Saccharomyces cerevisiae S288C: one gene and its partner. The protein of the gene in region 1 interacts with the protein of each later gene in a pairwise test. Each region holds a gene or a part of one and is shown on either strand. Other genes may lie near its edges.

The links.
Region 2: the proteins of DRN1 (region 1) and DBR1 interact in a two-hybrid assay, tested with the Saccharomyces cerevisiae proteins (one study listed by BioGRID).

Annotation. Positions count from the first base shown.
Region 1 is NC_001139.9:668,297-672,636, forward strand, and holds DRN1 (Drn1p), read left to right. Parts: upstream 1-2,091; coding exon 2,092-3,615; downstream 3,616-4,340. Other genes in the region: serine/threonine-protein kinase DBF2, read left to right, coding at 1-1,611; VAS1 (valine--tRNA ligase), read left to right, coding at 3,890-4,340. UniProt on the Saccharomyces cerevisiae protein: Involved in branched RNA metabolism, modulating the turnover of lariat-intron pre-mRNAs by the lariat-debranching enzyme DBR1. Enhances the debranching activity of DBR1 in vitro.
Region 2 is NC_001143.9:166,902-170,707, forward strand, and holds DBR1 (RNA lariat debranching enzyme), read right to left. Parts: upstream 1,929-3,806; coding exon 711-1,928; downstream 1-710. Other genes in the region: MCR1 (cytochrome-b5 reductase), read left to right, coding at 1-551; succinate dehydrogenase flavoprotein subunit SDH1, read right to left, coding at 2,306-3,806. UniProt on the Saccharomyces cerevisiae protein: Cleaves the 2'-5' phosphodiester linkage at the branch point of lariat intron pre-mRNAs after splicing and converts them into linear molecules that are subsequently degraded, thereby facilitating ribonucleotide turnover.

The DNA of each region.
Region 1 (4,340 bases):
AATATAACAAAGAGGAGGACAAGGCCTGCGGGTATCAATGATTCACCTTCGCCGGTAAAACCATCCTTTTTTCCTTACGAAGATACTTCCAACATGGACATAGACGAAGTATCTCAACCTGATATGGATGTCTCGAACTCTCCCAAGAAGCTTCCACCAAAGTTTTACGAAAGAGCAACTTCAAATAAAACACAGAGAGTTGTTAGTGTTTGCAAAATGTACTTTCTAGAACATTACTGTGATATGTTTGACTATGTAATTAGTAGAAGACAACGCACGAAGCAAGTTCTAGAATACCTGCAACAGCAAAGCCAACTTCCGAATTCTGACCAGATTAAACTCAACGAAGAGTGGTCCTCTTACTTACAAAGGGAACATCAGGTTTTGAGAAAAAGAAGGTTGAAACCAAAAAATAGGGATTTTGAAATGATCACACAAGTAGGTCAAGGTGGTTATGGGCAAGTTTATTTAGCCAGAAAGAAAGACACAAAAGAGGTGTGTGCTTTGAAAATTTTGAACAAAAAACTATTGTTTAAGCTCAACGAGACAAAACACGTTTTAACTGAAAGAGATATCCTAACCACGACAAGGTCTGAATGGTTAGTAAAACTTCTGTATGCATTCCAAGACCTACAAAGTTTATACCTGGCTATGGAATTTGTACCAGGCGGTGATTTTCGTACATTATTAATAAATACTAGATGCTTGAAAAGTGGCCATGCGAGATTTTACATCAGTGAAATGTTTTGCGCTGTTAATGCGTTACATGATTTAGGCTATACACATAGAGATTTAAAGCCGGAAAACTTCTTAATCGATGCCAAGGGACATATAAAATTAACAGATTTTGGTTTGGCTGCTGGTACGATTTCTAATGAAAGAATTGAAAGTATGAAGATAAGGTTAGAAAAAATCAAGGACCTGGAATTTCCAGCGTTTACAGAGAAATCTATAGAAGATAGAAGAAAAATGTACAACCAGTTGAGGGAGAAGGAAATTAATTATGCGAACTCCATGGTTGGGTCTCCGGATTATATGGCTTTGGAGGTTTTAGAAGGAAAGAAATATGACTTTACTGTGGATTACTGGTCGTTGGGTTGTATGCTGTTCGAAAGTTTAGTTGGTTATACACCATTTAGTGGATCATCGACTAATGAGACCTATGACAACTTAAGGCGCTGGAAACAAACTTTAAGAAGACCGAGACAATCTGATGGGAGGGCAGCATTCTCCGATAGAACTTGGGATTTAATAACAAGATTGATTGCCGATCCAATCAATCGATTAAGATCCTTCGAACATGTTAAACGCATGTCTTATTTTGCAGATATAAACTTTAGTACTTTGAGGTCAATGATCCCGCCTTTTACACCCCAACTAGACAGCGAAACTGATGCCGGTTATTTTGATGACTTCACCAGTGAGGCTGACATGGCCAAATATGCTGATGTTTTCAAAAGACAAGACAAATTAACGGCTATGGTAGATGACTCGGCAGTATCATCAAAACTTGTTGGGTTCACTTTCCGACATAGAAATGGTAAACAGGGTTCCAGTGGCATCTTATTCAACGGACTGGAACACTCAGACCCCTTTTCAACCTTTTACTAGCGTAAAAATGAATTCTTGTCTTGCATTCGCCGCGATATAATTAGCTTTAACGAGCTTCATGCAAACTTTTCAACTAGCACCTATGAACGCTTTTTTCATAAATATACATATATATATATATAGTTGTGCATTACTTAGGACTTCAAGCCCATTGTTTAAAATCTCAGTTCACGGTAACGGTCCATCCCATGACCGTTTTGAACTAAACTTAAGCATTCATGTTGGGAGCGGCGAAACTTGGTAATGTTTTACAGGAAAACAGCAATGACCACTATTAATCGAAAATCTGCAAAAAATGAAAAGGAATGGGTGTTAACATCAATTGTTTTTTCAATGATAATTACAAATTGGACTGATACTACATTGCTAGATGTACAAAAAACGCAAGGTAGCTCTCTTAGAAGGATCCATAATATATAAAAAAGGGCTTATGGTTTACTGATATCTTTTTCACTTCAAAAACTTACATATAAAAATAGGATGACAAATGCAAAGATTTTAGTAGCTCATATAAGTGAAAGCGATGCCGATGAGGCTATCAGAAAGATCAAGAAAGTGAATGAAAAATCAGGGCCCTTTGATCTAATAATTATATTCAGTAACTCGTATGATGAAAATTTTGAGCTGAATACTGATGGGTTACCTCAACTAATACTACTATCGTGTGATAAGGCTAACAATTCGAAATCCAAAAAGATAAATGAAAATGTAACATTGCTGCATAATATGGGTACTTATAAATTAGCAAATGGAATCACTCTTTCATATTTTATTTATCCGGATGATACTCTTCAAGGGGAGAAAAAAAGCATACTGGACGAATTTGGCAAAAGTGAGGATCAGGTAGACATTCTCCTTACAAAAGAATGGGGCCTTTCGATCTCTGAGAGATGTGGAAGGTTGTCTGGAAGTGAAGTTGTTGATGAATTGGCGAAAAAGTTACAAGCAAGGTACCATTTTGCCTTTTCAGATGAAATAAACTTTTACGAATTAGAGCCTTTCCAGTGGGAAAGAGAGCGCTTATCGAGGTTCCTCAATATTCCAAAATATGGATCTGGAAAGAAATGGGCCTATGCATTCAATATGCCAATAGGGGACAACGAACTAAAGGATGAACCTGAACCGCCCAACTTGATAGCTAACCCGTATAATAGCGTGGTTACAAACAGCAATAAAAGGCCACTAGAAACAGAAACAGAGAATTCGTTCGATGGAGACAAACAGGTACTTGCTAATAGAGAAAAGAATGAAAATAAAAAAATTCGAACGATTTTGCCGTCAAGTTGTCATTTCTGCTTTTCAAATCCAAACCTCGAGGATCATATGATAATATCAATCGGCAAACTAGTGTATTTAACCACAGCGAAGGGACCTTTAAGTGTTCCTAAGGGTGATATGGATATCTCAGGCCATTGCCTCATTATTCCCATTGAACATATTCCGAAATTAGATCCAAGCAAGAACGCAGAGTTGACACAGAGTATTTTGGCTTATGAAGCTAGTCTTGTGAAGATGAACTACATAAAATTTGATATGTGCACGATTGTCTTCGAAATACAGTCTGAACGTTCTATTCATTTCCACAAACAAGTTATTCCCGTTCCAAAATACCTCGTTCTAAAGTTCTGCAGTGCCTTAGATAGACAGGTTCATTTCAATAACGAAAAATTCACAAGAAATGCTAAGCTAGAGTTCCAATGTTACGATTCACACTCTTCCAAACAATATGTGGATGTAATTAACAACCAATCCAATAATTATTTACAATTTACCGTCTACGAGACTCCTGAAGCGGACCCAAAGATATATTTGGCCACATTTAATGCCAGTGAGACAATAGATCTGCAGTTTGGACGACGTGTACTAGCCTTTTTACTTAACTTGCCACGCAGGGTGAAATGGAATTCTTCAACCTGTTTACAAACTAAGCAACAAGAGACTATAGAGGCTGAAAAGTTTCAAAAGGCCTACAGGACCTATGACATTTCTCTCACAGAAAACTAAACTAAAACTATTTCATTTAGAATTTCAAATATATCCAAATATATGTATATATATGTAGAATACTAAGTCATGCTACCTCTGAACGTTTAAGAGACCTAGCAACTCAGAGGTGATGAATTAAAAGAAAAACCGGGTAAAGTTCTTCGAGAGACCGCGCTGAAAAAATTTTTTTAGAAGAGTCACCCATACAGCCTACTGGTGTTCTCTGTGTGTGCTACCACTGGCTGTCATCGTTGTTGTATGTCCTTCAGATTTATGGAATTACTTAGATGGTATGAATAAGTGGTTAAACACATTATCTAAGACATTCACTTTTCGGCTTTTGAACTGTCATTATAGGCGATCATTACCACTTTGTCAAAACTTTTCTCTGAAGAAGTCGTTAACTCATAATCAAGTCAGGTTCTTTAAAATGAGCGATCTTGATAATTTGCCTCCAGTTGACCCAAAGACTGGTGAGGTCATCATTAATCCGTTAAAGGAAGATGGCTCTCCAAAGACTCCTAAGGAAATTGAAAAAGAGAAGAAAAAGGCTGAAAAACTGTTAAAGTTCGCTGCCAAACAAGCTAAAAAAAATGCTGCTGCCACCACAGGTGCATCTCAAAAGAAACCTAAGAAAAAGAAGGAAGTTGAGCCAATCCCTGAATTTATTGACAAAACTGTTCCAGGTGAGAAAAAAATCTTAGTATCCTTGGATGATCCGGCTTTAAAAGCTTATAACCCTG
Region 2 (3,806 bases), on another chromosome or scaffold:
TGGTCGTCAAGCATTATGAAGGTGGTAAAATGACCTCACATTTATTTGGTCTTAAACCAAATGACACCGTTTCTTTCAAGGGTCCTATTATGAAATGGAAGTGGCAACCTAATCAGTTCAAGTCAATCACCTTGTTAGGTGCCGGTACCGGTATCAACCCTCTGTACCAATTAGCTCATCATATAGTTGAAAACCCAAACGACAAGACCAAAGTTAACTTGCTATATGGGAACAAGACTCCTCAGGACATTTTACTAAGGAAGGAACTGGATGCGTTGAAGGAAAAGTATCCTGACAAGTTCAATGTTACTTACTTTGTTGACGACAAGCAAGATGACCAAGACTTTGATGGTGAAATTAGTTTCATCTCCAAAGATTTTATTCAGGAGCATGTTCCAGGTCCAAAGGAAAGCACACATTTGTTTGTCTGCGGTCCCCCACCATTTATGAACGCTTACTCAGGTGAGAAGAAGTCACCTAAGGACCAAGGTGAATTGATCGGTATCTTGAACAATTTGGGCTACTCCAAGGACCAAGTTTTCAAATTTTAAGCATGGAGGAAAGTAATTGATATTTTTTTTAATTTCGGATCGTTCAAATTAGTAAATATATAAAAAATATATATATATTCATGTGTATGACTAAAAATTCTCTCAAGAAGGCTTGGCTTTAAGCTCTAATTCCGTCTGCATTCGTAATAGAAATATCTCTCAAGTCATGAATTTAGAGATAAATGCTTTAGTTTGTCGTACTTCATCTTTCTGAATATCTAAGGTGTATGCAGGAATGGCATAATTTTCCCAATCAATATCCCTTCCTTCCTCTCTATTAGATTGAGACAGTTCTATCCAATTGACGCTATTAAACGGTTTATTGCTTAGGAGATTCTTATTTTTTTGACAAATTACCAAATTATTGATAAATTCAGGATCCCAGAACATACGGTGATTCTCGTCCTTCCACGAAGCATGCGATGTATCCGGTTCTATTTCCAGAATTTCTAACCAACGTCTTCTTGGCAGGCACTTGTCCAACGCCAAGAACCGTGTCTCGCCGTATTTGGAATCATACTCATTCTCTTCTTGGCAATTCATAATACCAGACCTTTCGTCCTCGTCACTGGATAAATCCAAATCTATTTCATTATTGTTTTTTTTTGTCTTTGAAGTTGACTTATTAGGCGGTTCGTGGCTTCTTTTATTATGCTTAATGGAGGCCATGAACCTGACATGCAAATGGGCGCTCAACCACCATTGAGGCCGCAAATCTCTTAGTAGTTGCCAGGTCACTGGGCTGCCTAGTTTTCCCTCTTTAATATCTTGCTCAAAAAAAGGCTTAAGCTTCAACAAGTGCTTAGTATCGCCATGATAAACGACTCCATTGGGCCAATCGTGGCTCAGCATAATATCAATACGATGCTTGATCATAAAAAGAGGAGCAATATCAGAAATTCTTACATGATACAGATTTCTTATGTTAGCTTTCCAATTGTTATTTTCTAGGTCATTCCAATCTGGTCGTTGCTTATTGAAATCCCACTCTTTCCATATCCCGCTCAATGAACCTATCCTTATGCCTTTAAACCATATAACGTTAGAGTATCCCATATAAAAAATGTTCTTTGCTACATAACCACCATGTGGCAGAAGCATTAAATGTCTCATCGATTCATGATTACCGCCAATAAAAATAGTAGGGACTGGGGCTTCAATCTCATTATTGTAGTATGATATGAAATCACCGAGTCTTTGATATTTTGGTGGTATGGCTATTGACTTAAAATCCTGACCATCACGAATACTTTGAAAATCTCCAAGAATAATTAATAGATCGATGGGAGTCTTCGCATGGATTCGTGACACTTCTTTATAAATTTGGTTTAGCTGACCATGACAGCACCCTTGTACAGCAATTCGCAATTTAGTCATAAGCAAAATGATAAATGTCTGCCCATCTTAATTTTTAGTTACATATTTACGTTCGCCATATGACTTTCTCCTGCTCATTTTTTGTGAGGGCCAGAAAAACACACATCTGGCTAATGAGAAAAAAAATTGGAGAACTAAGGAAATGCCTCGATAAAAAATTGAAAGTAATAAATAAATAAATAAATAAATAAATAAATAGTAAGTTAATAAATAACTAAATAAATAGAGTATGTATAAGAAGAAACTTTATGTAAATGTATATTAATAGGTATATATACAAATTAGTGAGTCAGTGGTAAAAAAGTGCAAACGCACAAAAAAAGTGCAATTAAAGAAGAGTATGATATTCTTTTCCGTAAAATACAATGAGGTTCAAATTAGTAGGCTCTTACAGTTGGAGGTACGGAAGGACATTCCTTTTCGTCCAAAGTGTGATCGATAACCCTTCTGTATTTCAAAGTCACTGGGGCAGCGACGTCCTTTTGCCAGGATAATGTATGCTTCATCCAATGTTCGTCATCTCTATTTGGATAATCCTCTCTTGCATGAGCACCACGGGATTCCTTTCTATTAGCAGCGGAAACAGCTGTTTGGGAGGCACAGGTTAATAAGTTCTGTAGCTCCAGAGTTTCAACCAAGTCAGAATTCCAGATCATTGATCTATCGGTCGTCTTCACATCATCAAAGGTCTTCTCTACTGCAGTAATGTTCCGAACACCTTCATCTAAAGATGATTGTGTTCTAAAGACGGAAACATCCTTTTGCATAGTTTGTTTCATATTCATTCTAATTTCTGCCGTAGATCTTGAACCATTAGCATTTCTTAGTTTATCCAAGTTTGCGATGGATTCTTTACCCAAATCAGAAGGTAGTGGTTTGTGTGGCAACCCAGGCTGTAAAGTGTCAGCAACCGTATGGGCAACAGCACGACCAAAGACAACAAGATCCAACAAGGAATTGGCACCTAATCTATTGGCACCATGGACAGAAACACAAGCGGCTTCACCACAAGCCATTAAACCGGGAATAACCTTGTCTTCGCCAGTTTCTTCATCAATGGTTAATGCCTCACCATTCCACTTCGTGGGAATACCACCCATGTTATAGTGGACGGTAGGAATAATGGGAATAGGTTCCTTGGTGACGTCTACACCAGCAAAAATGGCTGCTGTTTCAGAGATACCTGGCAATCTTTCCTTTAGAACTTCCGGAGGTAGATGGCTCAATTGTAAGTACATGTGGTCCTTTTTCTTACCAACACCTCTGCCTTCTCTGATCTCCATGGTGATTGCTCTGGAAACGACATCTCTACAAGCTAGATCCTTGGCCGTAGGAGCGTAACGTTCCATGAATCTTTCACCTTCAGAATTAACCAAAAAACCACCTTCACCACGAGCACCTTCAGTGATTAAGCAACCAGACCCATATATACCTGAAGGATGGAATTGAACAAACTCTAAATCTTGCAAGGGGAAACCAGCACGCGAAACCATGGCATTACCGTCACCCGTACATGTGTGAGCAGAGGTACAAGAGAAGTATGCTCTACCATAGCCACCAGTGGCAATAATGGTCTTGTGTGCTCTGAATCTGTGGATGGTACCGTCTTCCTGATTATAAGCGATGACACCAACGACCTCGCCATTATGGGTCAACAGATCGAGGGCAAAGTACTCAATAAAGAAATGTGTGTCATGTCTTAAAGCTTGGCCATAAAGCGTGTGTAAAAGAGCATGTCCTGTCCTGTCTGCGACAGCGCATGTTCTATAGGCCTGAGCACCCTTACCGTACTCCTTGGTCTGACCACCAAAGGCTCTTTGGTAGATCTTACCGTTTTCAGTTCTTGAAAAAGGAACACCATAGTGTTCCAGTTCAATG